2 linked regions of the Elephas maximus indicus genome follow. The protein of the gene in region 1 interacts with the protein of each later gene in a biochemical or structural test. Links are inferred from orthologs where the notes say so. Each region holds a gene or a part of one and is shown on either strand. Other genes may lie near its edges. The genes, in order: DCN and TGFB1.

Region 1 (15,779 bases):
ATAAATGATATCCTTAGACAGCATTCTAGAAAGAATGGACACGTTGATTATTCCTAAACAGTAATGTTTCATCAGGTATTAGAAGTGGATTTATTCAAGATACAGATTTGCTTCCAAAAATAAAAAAAAGCTCATATGCTTCAAACATTAATACACGTTGCCATAAAAAAATCATCTCATGAATTATTAGAGAAATGACTCTTGTTAAAGATTAACAAGGCAAATTACAGGGGATGAATTATTGTCATTAAAGGGATAACTTGAATCAAATAATTCCCAAGGGGCTGTAACTATCTCAGAAAAAGTTCTGAAACTAACTCGTTATTTTACTGTGCAGTTTTGAAGACATTAGAATAAAATTTTTCATTCACTTGCCTAATTAAATTCTGGAGGGCTGTACTCTGCAATGGAACATTTATTTTTCCTAGGATACAGGGTATATTGAAAGGAGAGTATTTACAGACCAAATAGGTGTCATGCAGTAAATACACACTACACAGACATGATCAGCATTTAGAACTCCAAAATAAACAGGACATAACTTTCAGGCTAGAATATGAATAAAATGCAGGAAGAGAAAACAAATGCCTCAAAATCCTCAGCCCATTTGAAATTTTCTTTACCTGACATAAACTTATGTGGCATGTCCTAAGTTCTAAACCCGTTACAAAAATCAACTCATGTTATCCTCATATGAAGTAGGTACTATCATTAATGGGGAAACTGCCCAAGGCCACACAGACAGTCAGTGAAAGAGTCAAAAATCAGACTTGGGCAATCAGGCTCCAGGGTCTGTGTGCTCAACCAAAAAGCTATTGAAGAAAAATTATCTCTGTTGAAGGAAATTACAAACTCAAGGTCTTCTTTGCTTCCAACAATTCGGGCATTGTACATTATCCTATTCAATCGCATCTTATAGTTGGCCTGAACTTTCACCTTCACATGGATGTTTTTCTTTGTTTGAAGAGAAAGTATAGCATTGCCGAAGAAGTCTGCTTTGCAGGCTTATAGTACCAGGTCCTACTTCGTGCAGGACTAGTTAACTAACAGGCAAATCACCAGAAGCACTGGCCAAGAAGGTTGTCTTCCAGGTGGTGCCTGGCTTTTGTCTTTCTCTTTTGTAGTTTTCATTCACTTCCAATACGTACAGCTTCCAAGCTGGTCTTATCTGTAAACTGTCAACATTTCTGCAGTCAATCACTGTGGGAAGCCTTCATTCAACACATGTGAGAATTCAGCCAATCCGGGAAAGAGTCCATATTAAACCTTCTTTCTTTCATTCCTTAATTCAGATGGCGTGATTTCTCCATTATTCCTCACTCTAGGTTCACTATCAAGACTAAACGTTTTTTAATACCCTAGAACTTGAACTCACATAAAATGATAAGTTCTTACGATTTTTGCATGTATGAAAAGCTTCAGTTAATGTAATCATTTCTATAGGTTGCTCGTTCCCACGTAAAGAAGGTTCTCCTTGGAGATGAAGATGGAAACAAAACAGGAGCTCCAACAGTCAGGTCTTTCCCTGTCACTGCTCATGTGACAGAAGCAGCTGGTGGGAGTGGGGAAGAAAAGTGTCTGGAGACCATGGCTGCCTTGCTCATTAGCTCTGATTTTAAAGCAGTTTTTTCAATGTCCTTTCTGCTCAGTTTCTGCCTCAAAGAAGCGATTATGATAGTGTCCAACTGATAGAGTTATTATGAGCCTTAGCTGAGATAATGAATGCAAAGTACATACCACAATACCTAGCACGGAATAAGCGCTCCAAACATTTCCTACTGACATATCACAGCAGCTTCCCAAGTAGTAGCTCTATTTTTGCCTTGTTTACCTTCTTGTTGCTAAAATATTAGCACGCCAAGACTAGCAGTAACCTACTACTTGGTTTCCTTGACTCTAGTTTCACTGCCTTGCACATACTTGCCGGATTTGACTTACCAAAACAGAGTTTTAACCGTGTTATTCTCTCATCAAAGAGCTTCAATAACATCCAGCTTCTAGCACAGTGATTGGCACATTTTAAGTACTAAATACGCATTTGCTGAGAAAATGAAAGAATAAGAGCTTTTTGGAAGACTTTCACCCTTTTTCAGTCAGACTCTATCTCATTTCTCTCATCTCTCTTTAGTTATTTTCACAAACATTGAGTATTTATTGAATGACTTCAGTAGGTCACACGCCATTGCAGTCATTAGATACACAAGGATGATGAAGATACAGACTCACTTGAAGGATTTGGCAGCTTCTTTGAAACAAAGCCCTCCAGTGAAGCACATTAATTTAATTATTGTCTCCTGATATCCCACAGCTGAGTTTTTACTAGTGCCATTCTACCCGCCTAGATAGCCTCCTCTCTTCACACCATGCACGTTCCTTTTATCCCTTAGGATTCAGCTCAAATTCTACCTGTTCTCCATAAATGCTTACGTAATCACCCATGTGTAAAGTGATCTCTTCCCCATTGCTCCTCTAAATTGCTAAAACAATTATATTCTCTAGATCATACTTCCCTTTTTGGCCAGGGATTACATAATGCATTGTGTATTATAAGCTTTCTGGTATTTATTAAAACATATATACATAAATATTATAACATGTAATATAGTATTTTATATATATAATATTATATATGTGTATATGTGTGTACATTCTTAATTTGCTTATGCTTTATCTCCTTACTCTAGCGTAAGTACTTTGAGTTTATGTGCTTTGTACTTTGTGCTTTTTTGTATCTTCCACAAAACCTGACATTATGCTTTTCCCATAATAATTTCTCAGTCAATATTTACTAATTCATTTATTGATTACTGGCAATTTGCTTGTATTTAATAGAGAGGTTTGTGCCTTGCATACCCTAATAGATATTCAACAAAAGTTAGCTTATTGTCTAAGTATAAACTGACTGATCAATAGAATAGAAAGAATAATAAATCCTCTGACTGCCAATGACAAAGGAGATGCTGCTGAGGATGCTTGAGTCAGGGAATTAAGGCATTAAAAATCTTGCAGTGAAAGAGAGCTACAGCTCCCCGCACCTGTTCTCTCTCATTTCATTACTCATCCTGTCCCTGTCGTTATCTCACCTCTGCTTTCATCTTCAGAGCGGAGATTTTTATTTTGGGGTCACTGGATCCTTAAAAAGTCCATGAATAGATTTCAGGGTGACTTGGAATCCAGTTAAATTTTATGCATAAAAAAGAACAGACATTGTTTAATGAGTGCAATGTGAGATCTAAAACTCAAGCTTATCTCCCTGCAACATCTTGCTCTTCCACCTACACCGTGGTTTAGGTGATTTCCTGGACTGCTAGAAAACACCTTCGGCTAGAAAAAGAATGTAGTCTGGTTATTGAACTGCAGTATCCAAGGGGAGGTTTGGTAGCAACCACCACCACAGCAGCAGCAGAAGGCACAACGAGCACTTATCTACTGTTGGCGATGTGTCAGGCATGCTTCTACATATTAACGTTTGTTAAACCTCACACCTTAATACTATGGAGCAGGTAGTGCTGCTGTTGTGCTCATTCTATAAATTAAAAACAAACAAACAAACAAACAAACAAAACTGAGGGGAGGAGAGTTTAAATCACTTGTGCCAGGTCATGAAGCTCCCGAGTAGTAAGTCAGGTTTTGAAACCAGGCAGCCAGTCTCCAGAATCTGTATAAATTTGTGCTAATGGCATTTTCCTACTTGTTTATAGTAGATTCCAAGACAGATCCCCATTACAGTCAGATAGCTCTTTTTTTTTTTTTTTTTTTAAACTCTAAGGCCAATACTGAGCTTCCGTACTGTGCTGCTATTCCACAGATATTAGAAAGAAGGTGAAAGAAAATGTTACAGTCTTGAGGCTTGAGATGCCAAGGGAGAACTCTAATAATTTCTGTATCAAATGGTTGCAATGGAATAACAGAGACTCATTGACCCTGCCATTTTACCATACCTCCACCTTGCCCAACATATTTCGATGACATCTATATTTCCATTTAAAATCTTATTTAAAATTAAAAAAAAAAAAATTCTGAGTTCGGAAAAACTTGCGAGAGCACTGGTAGTTCCGTTTTTACATGGCCCTGCTTCTACCCTCTGTAAATATCCCTAGGAAGAGATTTCATTAGGTGACTGATGACTTTGGATGCTTTTAACTGCCATTGACAGCAAGCTCTTCCACAAACTGACTTAAACCAGAAGTTGGCAAACTACCATCCATTGGCTAAATAATTAAGCCTAACACAACTTTTCATAAATAAAATGTTATAGGAATACCACCATGCCCATTTATGTATGTTTTGTCTATGACTCTTTCCATGAGACAATGGCAGAGTTGAGTAATTGCTAAGAGACCTTATGACTTTCAGAGCCTAAAATATTTACTATTCAACTCTTTACAGGAAAAAAAAGAAAATTGTTGAACTCTAAACTTTTGAAAAATATCTCATCTCATGTAATGTGAAGCCCAGTAGGGGCTCTTTGTTGTCGTTGTTAGGTGCCGTTGAGTCAGTTCAAACTCATAGCAGCCTATGTACAACATAATAAAATACTGCCTGATCCTGCACCAACCTTACAATCATTGCTATGTTTGAGCCCATTGTTGCAGCCACTGTATCAATCCATGTTGTACTTTACCAAGCAGGATGTCCTTCTCCAAGGAATGGTCCTTCCTGATAACATGTCCAAAGTACATAAGTTGAAGTCTCCCCATCCTCACTCTAAGGAGCTTTCAGGTTGTACTTCAGCCTGACACTTTTTTTTTTTTTTTTGAGTTGCTAAATTGGCTCTGGAGTTCCAGGGCCAATTTAGCAACTAAAAAAATACCATCTCATTTTTCCTCTATTCTCAGTGGGTGAACCTTTCTCTCAGGTCTGTGACTCCTCATTATTACTCATTAGTTGCAGAAGTTCCAGACATCACATCGAGTTATAAAAATATCTAGAGGGAAAAAAAGGAGCCATCTCTTCTTTATATCACACCTTAATGAAGCATCATCAGCTGACTCCCTCTCATGACACCAGTGATCAGAATTGAGTGACATGCCCTTCCTAAAGTAATTCTTGAAAGGAAACAGGGTAAAGATAATTGGCTAGGCCAATTGTTCAAAGTGGAATGTATGTTGGGTGGTCAATCATCTTGACCAGTACTGTCTTCTATATTCTTCTCTCAGTCGACATATTCAGTCTCTTAAAGTATGATATTTCATCATATTTATTAAGACCTGAGTGATTAAAATTCAAAATAGTGCATTTTTACATTAAATTTGGAAGAGATTTTCAGTTGGACTGTACCCATCAGAGTGGTTGGGTAACAACAACAAAAACAACCACACTGTGTCAGGCGTGGTTTTGAGGTAGATGTGCAGAGCAGAGGGCCAATACAAGAACGCTGAACACAGTGGTGATGGCCTGGGGTAGGCAGAGGCATGTGGGAAGAAAGAATATTATTGCCAAGATAGAAAAAATTTTACTACCAAATTGTATTTCAGGCCATCCTGCAATCAAAGTTGCCCTGAATTCCACACTACTCTTCTTTTGTGGCTATGGAAGAAATCTGTTTATGGCAGCGAAATACAGAGCCAGACAATCCATTCCAGCCTCTGACCTGAATATGAAGAGTCAATCTAAGAATAAACCAGTCACATCAGGTTTGTAAAGATAACCAATGCATCCAGACCTCTTAGAAAATAAAAGGGTGTCAGAAGGAGACCTTTCTAAGCTCTGGCATTCTTCGTATCTTTAATATGCAGGTACAATTTAAATCACTTGTCTTTGATGATGATGAGAAAGAGTGAATACCCCTGAAATAAATTTTGACAAGATGTAGAATAGAGTTACCCCGTTAGCTAGTGGGTTGTCAGTAGAAATCACAGTTTAAGTGGTTTTAACAGCAGATGTGGTATGTGCTTTGAATCTGAATATTTCAAATATCTATATGGCTGCCAAGGTTTCAGTGAACCCTAACCAAACATTCCAGACCAGGATGAGCTTAGGCAATCTCTGCATAAGCACTGATTCTACCCTCAAAATTGCCCCATTTCATGTTAGATTGCAAGAGACCTAGAGTCTGTGATAGTGCCATGACCTCTTTGTGACTTATCTGAATATGACTTTGTTATGACTTAGTTTCTTCCATCTAAAAATAGGTGTGCCAATATATGTAACTTAACATCTGATTAAAGGTAAAAATTTTAAGATCATGTTTGTGAAGATGCTTGGAATTTTAGAAATGAGGTGAAACAAAAAGGAATCTCTAGAAATAAAAAGGAATATTTATTTTTGTTCCTGCACAAATGTAAAAATTCTAAAAAGGATTGTCACTTGGTCACAGTTTTTTAAAAAAGAAGGGTCTGTTGATCTATTATGAAAATCAGCCATCGAAAACCCTTTGGAATACAATTCTACTCTGATACACTTGGGGTCACCATGAGCCGAAGCGGATGAGACAGCAACAGGTTGGTTGGTTAAAAAGGATTGTCGCTTGGTCACAATTTTTAAAATAGTCTGCAAAGACATGTTACCCTAAATTTTTATGATTAATTCTCTTTATACTAAGACTTTGATCTTCCTTAAAACACAGTATAGTAATGGAAGGATCACTGAATTCGTTGTGAGACAACCTGAGTATTAGTTGCTGCTTTGCTTTTTACCAGCTCTGTGAACTTGGGCAGGTCATTGGGGTTAATTTTTCTCACCTGTGAAATGGAAAGAGTAAATAGTATTTCCCTTGCCCAACCTCAATTCCCTTGTCCAAATTTTAATTGCTACAAAATATGTCAGGGAAAAAATAAAAGCGTATAAAAAGCTTAATTTCGAAGGGCGGTGCTAGGAGTTAAGTGCTTCATATACTGTCTCTCTACCCCAGCACTAGAAAACCAAAAACTAAACCCATTGCCATCAAGCAGATTCCGAATCACACAACCATATAGGACAGAGTAGAACTGCCCCGTAGTGTTTCCCAGGAGTGACTGAGTGGATTTGAACTGTCAACCTTTCGGTTAGCAGCCATAGCTCTTAACCACTATGCCACCAGGGCTCAACAATATAAAGTAGGTACTAATTTTTACCCATTTTACAGATAAGAAAACTGAAACTCAGAGAGGTTAAGTAAGTTGCCTGAGTTATTGCATGTACTATGGGGGAGGAGGGAAATCAGGATGTAAACCTTAATCAAAATGATTCTTTTTTTTAAAAGTAAAATGATATCCGTATCAAAACTAACATGTCTTTTCTCCCCTTCTACGCCTTCTTTAATTCCCCTCTGCCTCCTGTCTTTTTTTCAGATAATAATCATTGCCTTAATTTATCATATATACTTTTAGAGCTGGATTTTAATAAGAAACAATTCAGGGGCTGAGCAAAACAATAATCATGATATGGTCCACAGCCAATGCTTTGACTACTTTTGTCTACTCATTCATTAGACGTTTATTGAGAATGGGCTATACACCATGCACTACGCTGAGTGAGGAGCTCTGGTGGCGCTGTGGGTAAGAGCTCAGCTGCCAACCCAAAGGTGGGCAGTTTGAATCCATCAGCCACTCCTTAGAAATCCTATGGAGCAGTTCTTCTCTGTTCTATAGGGTCACTGGTACGAGTCTGAACGGACTCGAGGGCAATGGGATGCGAGTGAAGGGATTCTACCAATATGAATACAATGTACTTCCTGCCTTGGCGTGAGGCATGTACATAAATAATTATAATATGAAGTAGGATTGCACGTCATAAAAGAAGAGATAAATGCTATGCAATGGGAGTTCAGAGGAGAACATTAATGAATTTCAGGTGAGAGGATCATGGACTTGCACCAATACCCAGGGAAAACAGTGTTTTCATTTTTGGAAACCACCGGAATAACTGGGTATCTGGTCATTAAATGTCAAGGAGAAGGGAAAAAAGGTGAGGTGTTAAAATTGGGAAGGATGGGCTTGGGAAATCAAGGGGACTAATTTGTTCAGCTCCTGAGTGCTGGGAAGTATGAGTTTACTCAGGAATAGAGAAAGAAGGCAAAATATAATTTGGTAACACCTCCCGCCCTCCTTTAAATACCCACTCAAGGATTTAATTCCTTCGAGTTTCATCAAGGCAGAAGATTTTTTACTGTAAAAGTGTAGACTTAGGTGGTGACAGGAGAGGAAGGAGAGAGGGTGAAGGATCAGAGAGAAGGTAACCTCTCATGTTTCACACATGTTGATTTCAAGTTTCCACCTGGTAACAGCCTAGGGGCCAGAGCATAAAAGATACAAGTCAAAACACAGAGACTTACACAGAGAGAACTAACAGCATCCAGCAAGGGAATTACAAAAACACAAAAAAGCTTTCCAGTGGCTAAATAAATATCTTTCCTTTTATTTGTACTGTTTTTTTTTTTTTTTTCTTTCCCCTTTACTGAAATTTGGAAACGGCCATAGAATCTACTGCTTTTTCAAAGTTCTAGATTACATAAAAGAATAGTCTATTAAAATCAAATGTTTCAAATACGGGCTAAATTTAATTGTGACCAATTTCTAGTTATCTGTGTGTTTTCTTAAAAAAAACAAAAACGAAAACAAACAAAAACTGGTGGCAACAAAAGAGATTTTAAACTATGAGTAATGAAAATAATATGTGAGGTGTGTTTTATATAAAACCATGGCTTTGTTCCAGAACTCTTTAGAAATATGTTAAAAATATATGGAAAAACTCGAATTTGCGCAAAAATGCCAAAGCAAGTGAGAATCCGAAAGAGTATTTTCACATAAGGCTACTCATTTATTTTTGCAGACCACATTTAAAATAACTACAAGATCAATTTCATTCCATTTGCTGGACGTCTACATGCTGGAAGAAAGATTATTTGTTATTTGGAAAGTATGATAAATGTGACTTAGGAACAAGGCTAGAAAGAGTGGAGAGTGGAGTGAATTGGGGGTGGGGAAACAAACCCTTTCCTGACAATATTTTTAGGGAAATGAATCAACAAAATAGGACAAATTTCAAGGCAAGTTGCTCTGCAGCACTACATAAGCTTTTTAGAATCTTAAACAGATGCAAAAGGAATAAAGCAAAAGGGAGAGGGAAAAAAGGCCGATAAAGTTTCTGGCTTCAATACAGGAGACATATCATTACCATATGATCTAATGTGGGTGTCAGCCGGATTGTGTTCATTGAGGGAAACCTTATTTTTTAACTGTGCTATGGAGTAGAAGCAGGAGGTTTTCAACCTAGTGACAGTCACAGAGCAGCACCTAACCCCCTCCTCCTTACCACACCTGCAAACTCTTTTCCTTGGGCTGAATATTTAGTGTAATTACATCTCAGCTTTGAGGGCTCCTGTGGCAAATCCCCGGATTAAAAGGTATGGTTTTCAATAATTGTCCTGAACTCTGCTACAGACTAATAAAACTGCGGTCAAGTTGAGAGCAAAAAGAATTATTTGGTGAGAAAAAAGAAAAAAAAATGTACTAAACTTTTGATAATCTTTAGGCAGCATTTCAAGAAAAAGTATTGCTTGAAAACTAGTTAATTACTTGGTAAAATGATTGAATGCGTTGTTTTAATTTTTTTTTCTTTTCTCTTCTTGCAAGGGTGTTTATTAAAAAACCTAACACCATAACTCTCTACATTGATATATTCTGTATTTGTACTAATGAAATGTTTAGCTATTGAGAAGGTGTTAACAGAATAGCCTTCTAGGCTAGCATGCTATTTGTAGTAAAATTATTTATCTACTGATATCTTTCCTTCCTGAGTTCTTGTATGCTTTGAGATCGTTTAAAACAGCCGAGAAGTGAATTCTGGTGATTAGCTATATAGGTCCAATGTGTATTTCTGCATCCCAAGAAAACAATAGAAATTATCATCAGGGAAGTAAAAATAAATACTGAAAATATGTATGCTGGATATTAAAGATCTACCTAAACTCTTCTCATGGTTAGCAGCATAATTCCTTAACCGTAAGGAAAAGCAACCATGTTGATATTTTCAATTCAAATGAAATTTTATTATAAGATACATTCACGATGAAATGAGGAAGTGGGTTATTTTTCTTTCTAATTTCAAGGCAGGGTTACAGGGTGACCAGTCAGTAAGTGGGCTCCCAGTGATGTAAATACCTGTGGCTTTTTCTTCCTCTTGCTGTTTTGATCAGAAAAAAGAGCCAAATGCCCCTATAGCAGTCCCTATGTATGGGTAAATGCTGCTTTTATTCCTAATATTTTCATTTTTTCTGTTATTTTTTAGATTTCTAATACATCCTGTGAAGGGGGATTGTAACTTTTCTTTGCAATTATAGCTTTATTTTGTCTCCTGAGGGTTAAATTTTGACTTTGAAATTCACACCAAAAGCATATGACATCGTATAAATAGTGAGCTCAATGATACAGTTAATTTAAAGGGCCGAAGTACTTTAAAAAAAAAAATTTTTTTTTGAAAGTACTTTAGGAGCTAGAAATTAATCTATTTGATAAAAATTATTAAACTGTGGCAACTAATTTTAGAAGTGTAGCAACATTATACTAGCAATTAGCATTTGGAAAGAGTCATACATTTTGAGAACGTTTAAAGCCATTTCAGTAAAACTTGGAAAAAGTATATATTTCAAAATTAGCTGCCTTGCTTTTTACATGAACAGCTGCTGTGGGCTGGTAATTTTTCTGACATATTAAGGAAAGAAAGAAAGGATTCAAGAAATTATTATTATGCGAAGCACACATTAATTGCTTTAAGATTCTGAGATTTCACGACACTAATTGCAAAGAAGTTATTTCATGAAGGAATTTATATAAAGTTTCTAGACAAGCTACTTTTCTTTTTCTTCCCCAGGGCATTAGAGTTAAAATGCACACACGCACACACACACACACACACAGAGTAAATGAAGGTGGTATATAATAAGTTAATTGAAGCTACTAACTCTTTGCATTCAGCGTCAATCAAAAAGCATATTGTGCAGAGAATCTGCAATATTTTAATAAGAGTAAACAAATATAAATGATAATATTCCTCTGAGCTAATACTTAAAGTTTCTTTTTTGAGGGGGGAGGGAGGTGGTGGGGGAGTTGTTACAGAGACAACCAGGCATTTCCTGCTCTGGAGAAAAGATCAAAAAGCGACATCTGTATTAATTCTTGTTGCTATTTATTAAATCTGCAACTGCTTGCTATTTATTAAATCTGCAATTGCTTTGCTTCATTTTTCTTCTAAAATTGTTTAGGACATTAAACATGCAAGGCCCGAAAACTTGTGGTAAACCATAAACATTGCATTTTAATATGAAACAGACAGAAAATCACTCCCTTAGATCCAACCTAAGTAAACCCTGCCAGGCCAAAACAATAGGCTCGCCTCTTAAAGGGCAATGTAATCACTGGGTGGGGGAAGGGGCTCCTACAGCAAACTTGATGCTGAATTTAAAATGCTAGTGTGAACCATGATCTGTATGGCGCTTTATAAATGAAAAGCCATCAATGCATATTACGTATGCGCTGCCTTAGACAGAGTTTGGTAATAAATATAAACTAAGAACAAAAATGTAAGAAAATTGAAAAATATTTATTCCATCTGTAGTGGATCTAGGCAAAACTTTCCAGAAGACACATTAAGGTTAGGGCATACAAGTTTGTTTGTTTGTTTGTTTTGGCATATATTTTGATTGGATGATGACCTGAAACAACGTATTTAATTATAGTTACAAATGTGCAGTTTTAGTGTAGATCATGCAAGTATACAGTCCAAAATAGAGAGAATCAGGCTAAAGGCAAGTCTTGTCTACAATATGCTTTGGGAACACTTGGAACAGTTTGAATAGAATTTAAAAATATATCGTCTTAAAAATAAGCCACCTCTTCTTTACATGACCAACTCAGTTTTGTTATTCAGATTTATTAAGAAAATAAAACGTTCGCTTCAGCTAATGAAATCAACTCAACAACAAAGAATTATAGATCATAAGTGCTTGTTGAATGAAGTAATACATATTATGTGGATCCATGGAAACTTAACTTTTAGTGATTTTGTTTTGTTTTTGTTTTCTTTATACAAAATAGCCCAGTTGGTAAAGCCTGATAAGTCATATAAAAGTCAATTAGGATTTCCCCATGTATGTTTATCTCTTTATTTCAAAAGATCAGTTTGGGAAACCAACCAATAGATTCACTTTAAAAAGTGACTTTTGCTTTATATCAGGTTGAGGTTTCCAATTCAATAACTTTCCTGTACCAGGAATTAGATTTTGAAAAAAGGACAATTTTATTTTGTTTTGGGGGGGAAAAAAAAAAAAGGAATTGGTTGGTTGCTTGGAACAAATTGAATAAATTGTATTGTTAATAATTTGATAGTCAATTGAGTTATGTGCAAAATATTATGTAAGGTCCGGATACAGAACAAAAAAATAATAAGACACGCCCTGGATGAGTACATTGCCTAGTGGGGGAATAGACCAAGCACGCAAAACAAATTACAATATAATGTGATAAGTTCTTTAAAAGAGGTAAGAGCAACGTGCTTTGGGAGCTCAGAAGAAGGAGAAAGCAACCTCTTCCCCTGGATATACGGGGAAATACAGAAGGGAAGCCCATTATCTTACTTGCTTTTTACAACACTGTTACAAGGTAGGTAATTTGATGGCTATTAGTTTTGAATGTCAGGATACAGGTGGAGACTGGGAGTGGTAAGAAAATGGAGGGAAACGTGGCTAGAAATATACATTGGCAACGAACTGTGAATGATCTTATAAGTAACACTATGGACTTACTAGCAAGCCATGGGAAGTCAACCAATGGTTTTCAGTAGAAGATTAAACAAAAAACCAAACCAAATCAAGTCGATTCCGACTGATAGTGGCCCTATAGGACAGAACAGGACTGCCCCATAGAATTTCCAAGGAGTGCCTGGTGGATTCGAACTGCCAACCTTTTGGTTAGCAGCCATAGCACTTAACCACTACACCACCAGAGTTTCCGGTAGAAGATCGGTAAGATGAAATTTATTTTTTGAAAGGCCATTCCTGCAACAGAGTGGAAGGTGGCATGGAAAAGAGGGAATGTTCAAGACAGAGATTAGTTGGAAGCTTTTGCAATAGCTCAGGGAGTGATGAGAAGGGCCTGCATCAAGATAATTATAGTGGGTTGGAGAGATGAGATAGGAGCCCTGGTGGTACAGTGGTTAGCACTTGGCTGCTAACCAAAAGGTCAGCCACTGGAACCCACCAGCCTCTCCTGGGAGAAAGATGTGGCAGTCTGCTTCTGTGAAGATTTATAGCCTTGGAAACCCTATGGGGCAGCTCTACTTCGTCCTATAGGGTCACTTGGAGTTACAATCAGCAGTGGGCTTGGTTTTTCATTTTTGGAGAGTTGAGATTGGCTTCCAGAGATATTTCTTGAAGCAGAAATTTGAGATCTCTCATGTGTATGAACAAAACATTATTTCACTGTGGCATGGCTCATGTTGAATGAGCATTGGAAAGTCCACCATGATATACTATCATGACAATTTTGCAAATGATGTAAAAATATAGTGTATCATTTTAATTCAGACCCACGATGAAAGCAAGTAGATCTGAATAACATATTTAAATAAATGTTGCTTCTTAAGTAAATAGCTGCCAATTAAGTCTATAATGTACCTTATCACCTTTCAAATATATTTTAAATGCTCTGTTTCCTAATAACAAATGAAAATGTGATTTTTGTTTTTTTTAAATATTTTTCTCTATGCTCACTCTACCATGGGGCAGGTAACACTACTCTTCCTAAACCTTTCATTTCTTTTCTAGGTTCCCTAGTTGTGAAAATAGATGAGATAAATCATGAAGGCAACTATCGTCTTTCTCCTGCTTGCACAAGTTTCCTGGGCAGGACCCTTTCAACAGAGAGGCTTATTTGACTTTATGCTAGAAGATGAAGCTTCTGGGATAGGCCCAGACGAGAGCTTTCCTGAGCTTCCTGAACTGGAGCCCCTGGGGCCAGTGTGCCCCTTCCGCTGCCAATGCCATCTTCGAGTTGTCCAGTGTTCTGATTTGGGTGAGTGGGCCAGAGGCTGTTTACCGACCTTGTTTGTTTCATTCTTGCAAAAGGGTACTCTTAAGAGTTTAGCCTTTTCAGTTTGAATCTCTGCAATTCAAATGCAAAAGACAGTGCCACCTAATGAGAAGTAATGGAAACAGAGAGGGTAGAAACTCAAGTAGCTTTGAAGTTAGGAGACTTTTTTTCTTTTTTGAGTCAGGGCTCCAACACTTCGCAATCTTGGACAAATCACTTTTTATTTTTCTGGGCTTCATAGCTCCCCGTCTATAAAATAAAATGTTGAATGACACAATGTATTATGTTCTATGATTCCAGGATGATAGCTTATTTTATTTCTATGATTTCCGTTCACGAAACAGTAGGTATTAACAAAACCTGAACAGTCTCTCTACTCTTGACTTAGCCTAGATAACAGAGCTTAGTCTGACCATGACTAAATTGTAAAGTATGCAGTTATCAGAAGCAAATGAGTAAAATTTTACAACAGAAACTTATCTCTGGAGTACCAAAATACGCCCTTAATCTCTGGGTCTTAGTTTCGCCTTTTACCATTGGCATTTTGTAATCCAGCTGTTTACATTTTTCAGGAAATTTCAAAGGAAATCTTTATAATAAGGCATCATTTAAATATTCATTACCATCACCGAGCATGTATCTATGTGTCCTGAGCTTAACATCCCAAATTCAGTTTGATTTATCACCGTTTAGAAGAATTTGGCCTGGGAATTCCAAGGGCAATACACTCAGAAGATAAATCTTCAGAAATTTGAAGCCCCAGTGGATGGGCCAAGAGGAGATGAACTTAGTTTACATGGCAGCTGATCCACATTCCTGTTTTTTTTTTTTCTTCCCCCCCCCCTTTTTTTTTTTTGGTTCATTTGTTTACTGGAAAGAAAGAAAGGAAAAACAAACCCTCACAGTGTGATTCTGCCACTATGTATCTCTTTAATGAAACAGTCTCGTAAGATAGTAGGGCACTTGTTCCCGAAGACCTAGGTTTACTCAGAACATGCTTTCTAGCAGTATTTTGCAGAAAAAAATTGCAAAAATTGCCAATAACTTCTGCAGTTGGAGTAATAAACACAGATGACTCAGAACAACTAACTTAAAAACATGTTAAGTAGCAAGAACTGAAAAACAAAAGCTTGAGATAGTTTCTTCAATGCCAGTGTATATCATAGAGACTTTGAAACCTAAATAAAATGTCATAAAGGTTTTCAAAAGGTGATGGAATCATTTCAATGGATTCATTCATTCATTCAGCAAATATTTTGAGAGCCCACAATGGGTTTGACTCTGTTCTATGCCATGGGGAGGAAAGGATGAGAGAGTCAAATATGGTCTCCATTCTTGTGGTGAAAATTTTGTCAGTGGTCACCACTTGGGAAGTATTGTGTTGCAGCTTGTTGCTTGCCTGTAGAAACTGGTTTTCCAGAAGCAAACTTTATACATGAGATAAATGAAACATTAGACTTCTTCCATGAAATCAGCCTAGCAGAAGAAGTCAGGGCTATTTTGTAGGGAAGCAGACAGAATGCTAGAAGCTCAGTTGCCTTCATTGTTTATGTCTGGCTCTGCAGCAGCAAGGGTGTGGGGTGATCCTCACTGGGAATTTCAGATATATCAAAAAACGTGTCTGCAAGACATGATACAGAAAGGAGGTTGGGCCTAGAGAAAGCCCCAGTGGGTTGCCTAAATTAGCATTTGTTAGGGGTAGGACATGGCAGGTCCTAAGATGAAGAGAGACTGACACTCAATGTGACCCATATATCCAAGGGCCTGACTCAA
Region 2 (15,440 bases), on another chromosome or scaffold:
AATCCTAATATTTTAACACAGAATTCCATCATTCTGAGCCCAATACTCAAAGACTCCAACCTGTCAACATTTAGGGAATCCAATCTGCCAACACTATAGAAGTCCAATATGGGCAACCTTCCAATTCTGAATTCCCAAATTCTAGGATCCCAACATTCCTGCTTCCCAAGATTCCAACATTCTAAGATTTCAGTAATTAACACCAAAGTCTAACCATCTAGGATCCCATCATTCTAGACCCCCAACCTATCAACAATATAGGAATCCAACATAGCAACCTCCCAAGAGTGAATTCCAATTTTCTTGGTGTTCAAAATCCAAACAGTCTCTGATTCCAACACGCCAGCAAGAAAGTAACTTGATTCCAACATTCTAAGACTTCAGTTCCAACACTCCCGCATTCTAGGACTCAGACCTCATCTCCTGCACCCTCCACGCTGAAGGAAACACTCAGCCAGGGCACAGCAGCAGCCAGATGCCCAACCAGAGAGTCTGGTTAGCAGACACTGGTCAGGTCCAGCCTGGAAGGGCTCAGCCAAAGGCTCCAAGGCTCACCTGAAGCAGTAGTTGGTGTCCAGGGCCCGCCGGTGCCGGGAGCTGTGCAGGTGCTGGGCCCTCTCCAAGGGGGTGGCCATAAGGAGCAGGAAGGGCCGGTTCATGCCATGAATGGCAGCCAGGTCACCTCTGCGGTGGTTGTTATTCAGCCCTGCTTTGGTGAGGAGGGGGAGAGGGGAGAGACACACACTCAGAGGGATGGATCCATGGGGGGTTGGGGAGGGGACACGCACTCAGAGGGGTGGGCCCATGGGAGGAGGGAAGGGGACACACACACTCAGGGGGTGGATCCATGGGGGGAGGGGAGGTGACACACACTCAGAGGGATGGAGTGGATCCATGGGGAGAGGGGACACACACACTCAGAGGGGTAGAACCATGGCAGGAAGGGAGGGGACACACACACTCAAAGGGGTGGATCCACTGGAGGCGGGGAAGGAACACACACTCAGAGGAATGGATGCATGGGGGAGGGGAGGGGACACACACTCAGAGGAGTGGAGTCGATCCATGGGGAGAGGGGACACACAGAGGGGTGGATCCATGAGGGGAGGGGAGCAGACACACACACTCAGAGGGGTGGATCCATGGGGGAGGACACACACTTAGAGGGATAGTTTGAGGGATGGGGGAAGGAGACTCGGACATACACTCAGAAGGATGATTAGGGGTCAGGCCAGGGAGGAGCACACACACATAGTCTCTCAGAGGGATGGATTGGTGTGACACACACACACACACACACACACTCTCTCTCTCTCTCAGCGGGACGGATCAAGGCCAGGGGGAACCAGCAGGCAGGGGCTGGCCCAGGGAACCTGACCTCACCTTTGATTTCCACTTGGAGTTTGTTGTCTTTGTCATCACAGGAGCAGTGGGTGCTGAGGCGAAAGCCCTCTATTTCCCCTGTGGGAGTGGGGACAGGGAACCAGTCAGAGTGAGGCTCACCCAGCCCCTGGGGAAGAGGAAGGAGGAGGCAAACCACAGCCCTCTCCTGCTTCTTCATTTGTTGTGCACTGTGTCTGCACCTCTTTTGCTCCAGTTCTCTTCCTTTCTTCAGGCCTCAGCTCAAATGTTACCTCCTTGGGGAGGCCCTCAGGGCCACAGACCCTCCCCACTCTTACTGCATTTTCATTCTATCCCTCTCTGATATTTGCGTTTGGCTCTGTTTATTTCTGCAGTTTTAAGAGCAGAAAACAAGCTGCACAGGGCATGGATACTTGGCTTTCTTGTTTCCCACTCGGTCTGGCCCACAGTCATTAAAGTGGACATTTACTGAGCGTGTCCCGGATACCAGGCTCTGTTCTAGACACTCCTTTAATCTTCACCAAAACACAAAGAAGTGGCGCACACAGACAGGAAGTGACCCAGCGAGGGTCACACAGGTCGAAAAGGTAGGGCTGGTATCCAAATCCAAGCCTGGGCTCTTTCCCAGTGGCCAGTGGGGGACAAATGAATGAGTGAATGATGTTTCCTAAGCTCCCACTATGTGCTGGACCCTGTGCTAGGTGCTCAGGGCTCAGCGTTGACCAACAGATGAGGCCCTTCTAGGCCTTTGTCCAGCTGCCCAGAACACTCCTCTCAGCAGCCCCCATCCGCTCCCAGGCCCCATCTTTGCAACTGGCCAAACTGCTACCTATCCTGTGAGTCTCAACACAATCACTCTCCTCCAGGGAGCCCTCTGGGACCCCCGCCATGGGATCTGGGGCTTCCTCGGGGCTCCCACGGCACTTAGGGCTTCCCCTGCCCTGCCCTGCCCTCTCTGCCTGTGCCTCCTTGTTCCTGGCCCTGACCCCTGAGCCTTCCCAGTCCTGGCCTTGATCATTTCTCATCTGGGAAACTCTGGCAAGGCTTCCTAAGTGTCTAGTAGTACCTGTTGGCCTCATGGGGGCAGGACCTGGGGCTGTCTTGTTTATCACTGTGTCCCCTACACCACCGGGCACAGGGCAGGCAACTGTTTGCTTTATTGAATGAATGCATGAACGAGAGAGAGGTATGGAAGGGAGACATGGGCCCTGTGGACTGGGCCACAAACAGGACAGACACAGGTCTCTTCTGGATGCTGAACTTGTGGCCTTTGCACAGGCTATTTCCTCTGTCTAGAACACTCTTGTCCCTTCTTTGCTCAACTGATTCTACTCATCCAGAGATTAGCTCAGATGCCCCCTCTTCCAAGAAGTCCTCCCTGACTCCCAGGCTGGGGCAGGTGCCTCCTCTGGGCTCCCCATAGCAGCCCTGTCCGGGTCATCACTGCCTAGTCAAAGATGTGTTCCTGGCCTCCCCAAGGAACTGTTTCAGTCACTGCCGTGTCCCTAGCATCAACCAGCACAGGGCAGAGTACAGGACAGGTGCTCAGGAAATGGGCTATAAACCATTCACGGATTAATCAATTAGTCACTCAGGTTTGAGTCTCCAGGGGGAGGGCCAGGTCTCAGCTCTTAGACACCAACACATGCTCATGGGGAGGTATGCTAGGCAGGCTGGCCCCAGGACAAAAAATGCAGTCAACCTATTGAGAAAGGGGGGAGGTGCAGGTGAGCAGACCTCACCTCCACGGCTCAGCCACTGTCGCACAACTCCAGTGACTTCGAAGGACAGCCACTCCGATGAGTCGCTGGGGGCCAGCAGCCGGTTGCTGAGGTAGCGCCAGGAATCATTGCTATATTTCTGGGAGATAATAAATGGGAAAGAGAGATAGTAGGTAGATGCTGCCATGCCCCTTACATACACTGACTGGGCCCCCCCATACCATCTGCTCCCCCGAATGGCCCCCAGACACCAGCCTACCAGACATGCACATCATGGGGTCTTGCAGAAACCGCTTGCCCCCACAGCACCCCTAAGAGGAGAGGTGCAGAAAGAGCCCCAGGCCAGGGGTCAGGGCACCACGTCCAGCAGCTCAGCCTCTGCCTCGCTGGGGGGCTGTGGCATTTTCTTTCCCTCTTGAGGCCTCAGTTTCCTCACTGGTAAATGCTGGTACCTTAAACTTGGGCAGCCCATGATGCTAAGATTCTGCTGCTAACTTTCTGGAGTCTGCTTAGGTGTATGGTTCAGCAACTCTGACACCCGAATTCTGCGTCTATAACTTTCTAAGGGCTTATGTCAGATGTCATTCTATAACGCTCACGGCTCAATACTGTTCCAGGAATTCCACAGTGTCTAAGCCTAAGAAGTTCCGGGAGACTAAGGTTCTACAAGGATGCCAAGGCTATGGAATAGTCCCCGGGGCTGGGGATATAACCCTCTAGGGCTGAGCGTATACAGATGAGTTCTCAAGTCTCCAACAAGCTAAGGTCGGACAAGGTTCTCTTGCTGTAAGAGTGTGTAACACCTTTCATGCTGCAGGTCTAATGTTCAATATGCCGTCAAGTTGATTCCGACTCATACTGACCCCATAGGGCAGAGCAGAACTGCCCCTATAGGGTTTCCAAAGAATGGCTGGTGGATTCCAACTGCTGACCTTTTTGGTTAGCAGCTGTAGCTCATAACCACAGTGCCACCGGGGCTTTAGCGTTTGACTGCAAGGCACTAGGAATACGGCCACTGAGACTGAGAAATGGAGTTTTTAACTTGATTTCATTTTAATTAACTTAAATAGTCATATGTGGCTAGTGGGCACCGTATTGGACAGAGTAGTTCTAGAGGTGTCAACCTTTGAAGAGACTGCAGCTTTCAAGAGTCCTGCATTCTTAAAGAGTCCAGCTTTTAAGATTCCAACCGTCTGAGTGTTTAACATTCTAGGACGCTATCTACATCTGAAAGTTTCAAAGAGCCCTACGATGCTCTGGTCTGACCTATTCCATCCTCCACAATTAGAATACTTCAGAGTTCATGGGTATGGACCTCGTGGCCACCAGCCTTCCTATGGCCCCACATGGCCACCAGCAACACCCCAGCTCAGCCCACCTGTCTGGCCCGTGCTCCCACCTGGTACAGCTCCACGTGCTGCTCCACTTTTAAACTTTGCCTCAGCAGGCGCAGCTCTGCCCGGGAAAGCAACATGGGTTCAGGCACTGCTTCTCGAAGCTCCGATGTGTTGAAGAGCATATGTATGCTGTGTGAGCCATGCCTGAGTTTGTCATAGATTTCTAGATGGGAAGAGCAGGGAGACAGGATGGCAGCGGTTCAGCAGGGGCGGGGGAGCTGGTGGACCCCAAGTCTGCCCTGGCTCCAGGGCAGACAGCCCTGGGTTGGAGCTCAATGTCAACACTTTTTAACTGTGTGACCTTGGGCGAGTGGTTTCTCCCCTCTGAGTCTCAATTTCCCCCTCTGTCAAATGGGTCCTAACCACCCTCCTCTCTCATGAAGCATCACCTGTAATGGACCACCCAGTCAAAGGCCGCCATCAAGGGGGGTTGATCTGCTTGCTTAGGCCTCCCCAGCACTCGGAGCCTTAAATGCAAGTTCACTGCAGAAAGGCCTGGCCATCTACTTCCTCAAAATCAACATTGAAAACCCAACGGAGCACAGTTCTATTCCGATCAGACAATGCCTCTGCTGCCTCCAGACTGTGTCACAGCCCCTCTCTGGGCCTTGGTTTCCTGTTATTCTTTGGGAAATCACCGTAACATCAATCTCCCTGCCTTCCAATCCAGACTCTCCTTACTGATGCGCTGTGTAACCTTGGGCCAAAGAGTTCCCCTCTCTGATCTGCAGACCCTCGTCTGTAAAATGAGGACCCATGGCAGAACACAGTGCAAAATAAATGAGACAATCCAGGGAAAACATGTAGCACAAGAGCCTGCATACATACAGCAGTCACTCAATAATGTGTGTGTTAAAGAGCGCTCGCTTTTCAAAGTACTTTACAAGCATTAAAATAGTTAAACCTTACAAAGAAAATACTATTATAGCCATTTTATAGATGGGGAAACTGAGGCACAAAAGTGAAGCAATTTGCCCCAAGGTCACATAGCTAGGAAGCTGCAGGGGAGGGATTCAAACTCAGGCCCTCCGGTTCCCAAATGGTGCTCTTATCCCCTAGGCTATGCTGTCTCCCTGCCAATGACTATTATTATTATTAATTGCTTCCTCCCTTAACTCTCTCTTTAGCTGGTTAGAGAAGTTCATGACATTCTTAGGTAAGAATGGCTGCAGGGGAAGAAGAGAATTAACAAGGCCATTTTCCAGTCTAGGAAAATTTCAAGGGTGGGGGTGAGAAGGCAGACCATAAACTCCTGGATCAACTTGGAAGCCACTGCTTTGGGTCTCCTATAGTGGGGGTGAGGGATGGTGGAAACAGGCTCTGAGGGGGAATGACAGAGGAAACCCCATCCTGTAGCCCCCTCCCCCTATTCCTCACCACTCCCTGCCCTGCGCCCATACACAAACCCTACTCTTGGCCCAGCGGTTACTGAGCACACCCCAAGGGAAGGGGAAAGCCGGGGCTGGGCAAGACAGATAGGGAGAAAGAAAGGAAGGACAGGCAGGGTCAGCGCGCTGCAAGGAGGAGGGAGAGATGGGGAAACCGCGGAGACACGGGGAGAGGAAGAGAGAGAGGAGAGACAGGAACCAGAGACCCACACCCGGACAGAGAGACGAGTGGGATGGTAATGGGATGAGGGAGATTTGAAGAGACAGAAAGAAGGGCACAGACAGGAAAAGAGATGGACGGGGGGATAGGAAAGGCGTACAGGCAGATGGGAGGCACGCGGGCTTCGGGGAGAGACAGAGACAGTCTAGAGAGAAAGAACAGGGGCGGGAGGGGGGTATCGGTGAAAGCTCTACAACGAAGGTGAAGGACGGAAAAGGAAGAGAGAACCAGATGAGGGGCGTGTTATTTGGCTGGACCCGAAAACTGGGCGCACAAGCAGCCCGGGGACCGGCAAGTCTACTGCTCTAGCGAAAAAGTGAACCCCGGGGGATCACCCCCAAGCCTCTGGGCCACGCGGGGCGCCGGGACTCCAGGGTCCCAGCGCGGGCGCGGACGGGCGGGCCCAGCGGTCGCTCCACCCCCAACGGGGTGAGCAGGGCGGGCGACGACGCAGCGGCAAGGGCGGGGACCAGACCTGTCTCGTCTCGCCCCAGGCTCCGCGCGCGATCCCCGGCCCCCCCTCCTCGCCCTCGGGGCACGGGAAGGGAGGGTGAGGCGACCGGACGCTGGGGTTTCCCCAGGCTCCACGAGAGGAACTGAGACTTTGGGGTCCTGACTCCCAGCCTTTAACTCCGCGGGGTCCTCCTTCCCCCTTGCGGAAGCGGGGCTCCTCCCCCCGCGCGTGGCGCCCACGTGGGGCTTTCTCACCCCGCCAGCTCCGTGTTCTCACTCCCCGCTTGCAGAGTCGTCCCCATCCACCCCTCCTTTTTCTTTCAGAAGGCCAGACTCCTCATTTAGCCCATTCCCTTCCACCCCGCGGCATATAGGGGCTCGCACTACTTCCCCTCCCCCCTCCATCCACCTTTCCCACGCTGTCTCCCTTCTCTGTAAACCTCTTCACATGCCCTGTAGGCTAGGTTTCTTGGGTGGTCGCTTCCTCCGCTGGGCTCCACCCTCTATTTCTCACCTCCCAATGCGAAGCACCCACAACACCTTCCCGCACATCTCCGGCACCCCCCTGGGGCGTCGGCTTCTCTCCGGCTAGCCTCCTCCCCACGACCCCGCGTCCTTCTCTCCTGGTATTTATCATTCTCCCTGTTTTTCTCTCTGGGAACCTCCCCTCCCCAATCCCATGTGTTCCTCGCGCCCTCTGGAAGTGGTCCATTCTCCCACTTTCCTAACCTTCCTGGCCAACGACCTAACGACCCCCGAGCTCTGGGTCAACTTCCTCGTGCCTCTCCTTTCCCAAAAGCTGGGGTCTTCGCTTCTCCCAAACCGAACTCTCCTTTCTGCAGCCCCCACTCCACAACCGCCATTCTTGTCTAGTCTTCCCCACCTCAACTGCTTCTGTCCCTCCAGGGGACTCCCCTCACAATCCCGCATGTTCCTGATGCCCCCTGAAAGCAGTCTACTTGGCTCCCTAACTCCTCCTCTTCAAGACCTGGTACCTGCGAGGGTCTCAGCCCCACCTTCTTTGGAACCTCCCTTGATCCCGGTGCCCCCAGGGGCCCATTTCCTCCCCTTGACCCCTGCACTCCGGCGCCCCCTGGGGGCTCCCCTCCCGGCTCCCCTGCCCCTCGGAGCTCACTGTTACTGCTTTCCACCATTAGCACGCGGGTGACCTCCTTGGCGTAGTAGTCCGCCTCGGGTTCGGGCTCCGGCTCGGCGCTCTCCCCGGCCACTTGGTCTCGGGTACTGTTGTAGAGGGCGAGCACGGCCTCAGGCAGCGGGCCGGGCGGCACCTCCCCCTGGTTCGGGGGACTGGCGAGGCGCAGTTTGGATAGGATCTGGCCGCGGATGGCCTCGATGCGCTTCCGCTTCACCAGCTCCATGTCGATGGTCTTGCAGGTGGACAGCCCCGCGGCCGGCCGGCCCGGCGTCAGCACTAGCAGCCGTAGCAGCGGCAGCAGCAGCGGCAGCAGCCGCAGCCCGGAGGGCGGCATGGGGGAGGCGGCGCCCCCCGGCACTGCCGAGCGCGCGAACGGGGATGGGGTTGGGGGAGGCCCCGCCCCTGCAGGGGCTTGGGGTCTCCCAGGGGGAGGTAGGAAGGTCTGGGGGGAAAGTTGAGGCCCTCAGGAAGAAGGGAGCAGGGGTGGAAGGGAGGCTCTGACGGGGCGGGGGGAGGGTGCCTCGGTATCCTACGTGAAAAACCGAGATGGGCAAGATCTGAAACCAGAGGGTGGGTGGCCTTGAATGGGGAAGCTGAGGCAGTTCTGAGAGAGATCTCGTCTCCTGGGGGAGAAGAGTCCTCGGGTGCTCCGGGGTTTAGGAGAGAGGCTGGGAATAGAGGGTGGCGTGCAGGGGGGTGCGCCCGAGGTCTGGGGGTGATAAAGTCTTCGTGTGAGTCCGGGTTTGCGGCTCCTGAGGGCTGGTCCGGAATGGGGCGCCTGGGGGACGCCGAGTGGGGGCCAGAGAGGGAGCGAGCTTCCGAGGCGGGGGGAGGGTCCGGAGTCCCCAAGTCCTGACTCCTGGGGGACAGCGCCGCGCCAAGCGGTCCCCTCGCCTCCGGCTCCCAGCGGCAGCGGAAAAGTCTCAAAACTTTTTTTTCCTCTTCTCCCAACCAGCTCGTCCCTCCTCCCGCTCCTCCTCCCCGCAGTGGCGGCGGCGGCGGCGGGGGCGGCGGCGGCTCGTCTCAGACTCTGGGGCCTCGGGCTGCTCCTCGGCGGCTCCTTCCTCCGCTCCGGGCCGAGGCTGCCCCGCGGGCGGCTCAGAGCCGGGGGTGTGCCCGGGAGGGGGCGTCCCCCCTCCCCCCGGCCGGGGGCCTCGCTGTCTGGCGGATCCGCGGCGGGAGGAGGGAGGGGTACGGCCCTGGGAGCGAAAGGCTGCGGCGGCGGAGACCGGCTGGGGCAGCGGGGAGTTTTGAAGCCGCCCCGGCCCCACCCAGGAAGCGCGCTGGGCGGGAGCGGCCCCCAGGGGGAAGGCATGGGGGGGCCGGGCCACCATCCTCATCTCGCGTGGGCGGGCTCCGAGGGGGGTCCCTCCAGCCCTGGGGGGAAGGAGACGAGCACCCGGCTCCGCCCCACGAACAGGGTGCTGCCTCCTGGCGGCCGAGCGCTACAAAAGCAGCGACTAGGGTGCGGGGTCACAGAACGAGGACCTGTCGGGGAAGCTTCAGTCAAAAGATGGGGACACAGGGGAAAGGGGATCAGAAAAGAGGTGACCCAGAGCAGGGAAAGAGACAGAGGCTGAGGGGGTCAGAAAGAAGATGGACGGGAGTGAGTCAGAGAAGGGATGTCCAGGACGAGAGGGGTCAGACCGTAGGGGTGCAGGATTGGAGGTCAGAGCAGGGGTGTCTAGGAGAGGGGATCAGAGGATAGGGGCATAGGAGAGGTCAGAGGAGAGGTACCCAGGAAAGGGGTCAAAGGATAGGGCTGCAGAAGAGGTCAAAAGACAGCAGGGTGGGAAGGGGGGTCAAAGAAGAGGCACCCAGAATAGGAAGGAATTGAAGGTGGAGAGGCAGAGGAGGGGGGAAGCAGACCTGTCAAAAGGTGGGCCCTGAGGAGGGAGGGTGTCAGTGGAAGGAAGGAGCACAGGGCAGAGGTCAGATGAAGTCAAGAAGGCAGATACACCTGTAAGAATCGCTCTCCTTTATTGTGCACCTCCCATGTGCTACACAGCCTTTTCTCCCAAGCTCCCATGACCCCGCCCTCACAGTCCCCATTTTACAGATGGGAAAACTGGGGCCAAAAGGCACAATCACTGGTTTGAAGCAGCCACACCATGCCTTGGCTGGAGTCAGTTCCTGCCGACCCCAGATCCCATGCTCGTGGCCACTGTACCATCCTGCCCCTCATCAGGTGTCCAGAGTGTGGATGGGGGCCAGATGTTGCAGGCAGAGTCCCTCAGCATTCAACGCCGTAGCGGTCGAAGTGGCGCAGCAGCACGCCGAGCTGGAGGTGCACGGTGCCACCGGCGGCCGTGTGCAGGCGGTAGCGATCAGCTCCACTGTAGATGGTGTCCCCATGCAGCAGCTGTGGTCCACCGCCCACGAAGGCCCGTGCCAGCTGCTCCCGCCAGCTGCCCAGGGGCCGCCACGTGGGGCAGTCCAGTTGGTGGGTGCCCGGGCTGCTGGGCACGTGGCAAAAGCCATAGCCAGCAAGCTGGCAGCGGCCAAAGCTGTCCTGGGACCACACCTGGAGATGGAGCCGGGGCCAGCCTGTAGGACCGGAGGGAGCAAGGAAAGGGGGGGATGGGCAAGGCCCCGCCTGGCATATTCATGGTCCAGCCTCCTGCTCCTCAATCCCCTTCCCTTGATACCCAATGGAGACCCCAGCCTGCTCCTCCCTTCACACCCCTGGTTCTTCCCAGGCCTCTTCCTTGGTTTTCCACCTCCTGCTCCACCCCCACACAGCAGCCAGAGGGATCTCTCTAAATCCATGTTCCTCCTCTGCTCAAAACCCTTCCATGGCTCCCCAATATCCTCAGCATAAAGTCTAACTTCCTCGACACTCAAGACCCTTCAGATCTGGCCTCTGTGACATCCCTGAGGCCTCCTCCTCCGTGTCCCCGTCTCAGGGTGGCCCCACTGCTTCCCCAGTCCTCAGATGAGCACCTTGGGCCTTGTCTGGATGCCTCCCCCTCCCCTCCCTGGGGTCCCGCCCTGCACTCCTCCCTGACTGGCCTTCTGTCTTGTCTTCTCCAACCCCCTTTCCCCTGGTGACCGCGAGCATCTTTTCTCCCCCTTCCATAGGTTTCCTCAGAATACTGCTCAGCTCCTCAGGCTGGTGGCCGAGGCCCTTGGAGATCTGGCCCTGGCCCACCCTCCCTTCAGAACCCGTCCTCTGTGCCAGGCCCCGTTCTAGGAGCTGGGGATCCAGCATGAGTAAGGCAGACAGAAATTCCTGCCCTTGAGTAGCTGACATCCTAGACAGCAAACATAGTAAATAAGTAAATTACAGGCTATGTCAGATGGTGATAACTGCTCTGGAGAAAAATTAAGCAGGGTAGGGTAGGGGTGGGGATACAGTTTTACAAAGGGGTGGTCCAGAAAGGCTTCAATGAGGTGACATTTTAGCAAAGGCTTCGAGGGGGCCATGTGGACATCTAGTGGAAGAGCATGGCCAGCAGCAGGAATAGCTAAGGCAAAGGCCCTGAGGCTGGAGGGTGCCTGGTAGGGCCAGTGGGGCTGGACTGGAGTGTGCCGGGGAGAGAGGGGCAGTGGGTGAGAGCCAGATGGTGCAGGGACCTGTAATCCCTGTTTTATGAAGTGTGTCCCCCCAAAAACTATGTGTTGTAAATCCTAGCCTCTATGCCTGTGGTTATAATCTCATTTGTCTTTGTTATGTTAATGAGGCATGTTTAGTGTACGGTGTATCTTGAGTCAATCTCTTCTGAAATATAACAGAGATTAAAGGAGCAAGCAGAACAAGCAGGGATGGGGAAGAGAGATGCGAAGCCATGTGGAGATCTCTCTGGAACCAGGAAATGAGCTGAAGAAACAAGGACATTCCCCCAGAGCCAACAGAGAGAGAAAGCCTTCCCCTGGAGTTGGCACCTTGAATTTGGACTTCTAGCTTCTTAAACTGTGAGAAAATAAATTTGTGTGTTAAAGCCACCCACTTGTGGTATTTCTGTTCTAGCAGCACTAGAGAACTAAGACAACATAGGAAGGCTTTGGCTTTTACCCTGAGTGGCACGGGGACCAGGGGAGGGAGGGCTCTGACAGAGCAGGAACGTGATCTGATTTGGATGTTCACGGGGTCCCGCTGGCTACCTGTGGGGAACAGACTGGGGTGGAGCCGGGGGTGAACCAGGGAGGGGACCAACGTTGGGGGACAGAATTGCCTGTCTCATCCTCCCAATTCATTGCTTACTTGGCAGCCAGAAGATCTTTTAAAAGCAAAATACAGTTTGTCCATCGCCTGCCCTGGCACCCCAGTGCCTTCAAATGGCCTCAGGTCCTCAGCCTGGTGTTCAAGGCCCTGCATGGCCTGTCCCCTACCACCTCACTCCCTGCTGCCCTCCTAGTCTCCCTCCCTCAGTCCTTCAGATGCCCCTCTGCTTAGGAACTCTCTTCCAGTCCTTTGCCTCACTAGCTCCTACTAGCCCTTCACATCAAAGCTCAAATGTCCCCTCCTCCAGGAAGTCCTCCCTGATCTCCCCGACAGGGTCAGGAACCTCTTCTCGGTTCCCAGGCCCCAGGGGCCCCCCACCCCAGCCCTGTCCACTTGGGCTGTCACTGTGTGGGGACAGGTCTGTCTCCTCCACTGGATGGTAGGGCCCCTGAGAACAGGGCTGTGGGTATCTCAGTCACTGGTATCTTCCTGGCATCATCTAATATAGGGAGCCCTGATGGCACAGTGGTTAAAGCGCTCAGCTGCTTACCAACAGGTCAGTGGTTCAAACTCACTAGCTGCTCCGCAGGAGAAAGATGTGGCAGTCTGCTACCATAAAGATTTACAGCCTTGGAAACCCTATGGGGCAGTTCTACTGTGTCCTATAGGGTCGCCATGAGTCGGAATCACCTGGATGGCAGTGGGTTTGGTTTTTGGTTATTTCCCAAGCCTGGAATCTGCTCCTCTGCAATACCCCAAACTCTCTCCCAGAAAGTGCTTTCTGATACCCCTCCTCCCCTGCACTCATCTCCCCCTGAGCCTCTGCTCTCAAGCTAAGGGGCCCTCCCTGAAAAGCAGCAGCAAGCCCTCACCTCTGTGTCTCTCTCTCCCTCATAAACCCCATCCCAGATTGCTCCCTATTGCAGACTGTCTCCCTCTGTCTTTACTTAGAGGCCATCTCCCTTCCCACCCTGGTCCCTACCTTCCCACCTCCCCTTCCACCCCGGGCCTCCGCCCCAGCCCCTCATACTTGGGATTCCCTTACAGCCCACCTGGGATGCTTCAGCTCAGCCTCTCCGGGGCCAGGCTGGGCTGGGAAAGGGACCGAAAAAGGTATAAGGGCAGAGGGCAGAGACTTGATATTCTCATCCCAGCAGCTAGGGTGCTATCAGCCCCCCTCCCCTCAGCCTGGCCCAGGGCCCATGCCTGGAACCTACCTTGAAGGCCTTTAGTGGCAAAGTGCAAGTCGATGGGGTGGGACCAGTAGGCCATGTCCCCCACTTGGGGGGTGTCCACCTGCGTTTGGCCCTCCCGCACGCCTGACAGTAGCTTCCATGCAGCCCCTGTGGGGAGAGCCAGGACACTGAGATGCGGCAGTGGGGTGATGCCACTGTGGCTGTAGGACCCCGTTTCTCCCTAACATTTGGGGGCAGGGGTTATAAAACACAGACTCTGGAGTCAAATGCCTGGGTTCAAATCCTGGCACTACCTCTTCCTGCCTTTGTGACCTTTGGTAAGTTACATTTCTATGCCTCTGTCTTCCCATCTGTAAAATGAGTGTAAAAATAATGTGTTCCTCATAGTTTTTGAGATTAAGCTAATACATACAAAGCACTTAAAACAGTGCCTAGGGCATAGTGAGTGCTGGATAAAATATCATTTTATTACTACTCCCACTCCATATTTAGAAGCCTAGATCAAGGACTAAGATGAGGCCAAGAGTATTCTCCACAGCTGGGTGTGCCGTGAAGGGTGCATAGTAACAGCAAAATGCTCTGAGTGCTTACTACATGCCAGATGCTGTGCTGATCCCTTTAGGTAATGAATGTAATCTGACTCTAGCACTCTTAATCCCACCCTGCCCAGCCCAACCCCCCCAGCTCAGACACTCACCCGGTGCCTAAGGCTCTGCATGGCCTGCGTGCCCACCTTCCTGCCCTCATCTCCATCACTCTCCCCCTTCCTCACCCCCACAGCCTCACTGGTCCCATTTCTGTTCCCCAGTGTTGGCCGAGCTCATTCCCAACTCAGGGCCTTTGCACTTGCCATTCCCTCTGCCTAGAAAGCTCTGCTCCTGGAGCTCCCTGTGGGTGGCTCTTTTTCATCCATCCACAGAGGGGCTTGCCCTGACACTCCGATCCAAAAATTAGTCCCCATCACCTCCTCCTGTCTCTTTTCTTCCTGGCACCAACCACTAACTAAAATCACTGTGCTCACCTGTCTGCTTATTTATTTTCTGTGTCCCCTACTGGGAGCCTCAGGAAAGCAGGGCACTTGTGCACTGCTGTATCTCCAGAACCTCAAACCCAATGCTTGGTATACAGAAGGCACTCAGTAAATACTTGTCAGACAAATGAGTGATCTAAGAAGTAAAAGAATAAGCTCTGCCAAAGAAAATCACTTGGTCATTCATTCCACCAAGATTCACTGAGTGCCTACTGTGTGCCAGGCACTTGGGTCAGACCGAGACCCCACAGCAGAGCTGGATTCAAGCTCAGCACTGACTGTTTGACTGCGGAGCCCAATCAGACTACCTCTGAGCTCTCTGCTGGACCAATCCCCGTGCCCCTACAACTCCCTCCCTGAACTAATAAAAACCATGTTAGCCACTTTCCCACAAGACTGAGAGAATGAAGCATCAGGCCCTGAGCCAGGCTCTTCACATACAAGATTTCCAAAAAACCCTATGAAGGATGGATGGTGGAAACCCTGGTGGCATAGTGGTTAAGTGCTACGGCTGCTAACCAAAAAGGTCAGCAGTTCGAATCTGCCAGGCGCTCCTTGGAAACTCTCTGGGGCAGTTCTACTCTGCCCTATAGGGTTGCTATGAGTCGGAATCGACATGATGGCAGCAGGGATATAGATGGTTTCACACAGTGGCTGCAACAATGGGCTCGAGCATGGCAATGATTGTGACGATGGTGCAGAGGTGGGCAGTGTTTCATTCTGTTATACAAAGGGTCGCTATGAGTTGGAACTGACTCGACAGAACCTAACAACACATAGATGAGGAAACTGAGGTGACAGCACCTGCCCAGGGTCCCAGGGCAGTTGAGTGGTAGGGCCCAGACTGGAAACCCAGTCTGACTCTAGAACCTGCCCCTTAACCACTCAGCTGGAGGATATCAATTCCCCAGGGAATCTGAATCACCACCCCGCCTACCAGTGAAATCACAAATGACCCAGAGCCTGAAGGGATGCTGACAGCAAAAGCCATACCTATTTCATGGGCCAGGCAACACACACCAGGCTTTACAAACGAGACCCCATCGAAGTCTTACAAGAGCCAGACAAACACTTACTGAACACTTACTACCCACTGGACCCTGCTCTAAGTGCTGCTGATATAAAGTTAGTCCTCCCAACAATCCCATGAGGTAAAATTATTCCCATTGTTCAGGTACAGAAATCAAAGCAAAGAGAAGTGCAACAGCTGGTTTTGTGCCCAGGCGGTTGTGCTCTTAATCTTGACACTGTGCTGCCTCTCAGCTGCTATTTAGTCACATTTTCAGACAAGGAAACAGATACTCAGAGAGTTCAGGCCCAAAGGCCTCCAATTAATAGGTGGAGTTAGTCTT

Evidence for each region.
Region 2: the proteins of DCN (region 1) and TGFB1 form a complex in vitro, tested with the Homo sapiens proteins (3 studies listed by BioGRID). The link is inferred for Elephas maximus indicus from reciprocal best matches to the Homo sapiens genes DCN and TGFB1.

The regions. Positions count from the first base shown.
Region 1 is NC_064822.1:155,619,905-155,635,683, reverse strand, and holds the start of DCN (decorin), read left to right. Parts: upstream 1-8,960; 5' UTR 8,961-9,325; intron 9,326-12,412; exon of another isoform or gene 12,413-12,578; intron 12,579-13,741; 5' UTR 13,742-13,774; coding exon 13,775-13,988; intron 13,989-15,779. UniProt on the Homo sapiens protein: May affect the rate of fibrils formation.
Region 2 is NC_064829.1:109,833,919-109,849,358, reverse strand, and holds the start of TGFB1 (transforming growth factor beta-1 proprotein), read right to left. Parts: upstream 8,038-15,440; 5' UTR 8,032-8,037; coding exon 7,677-8,031; intron 4,644-7,676; coding exon 4,483-4,643; intron 3,223-4,482; coding exon 3,105-3,222; intron 1,462-3,104; coding exon 1,384-1,461; intron 707-1,383; coding exon 556-706; intron 1-555. Other genes in the region: B9D2 (B9 domain-containing protein 2), read right to left, coding at 9,931-10,244, 13,080-13,205. UniProt on the Homo sapiens protein: Transforming growth factor beta-1 proprotein: Precursor of the Latency-associated peptide (LAP) and Transforming growth factor beta-1 (TGF-beta-1) chains, which constitute the regulatory and active subunit of TGF-beta-1, respectively.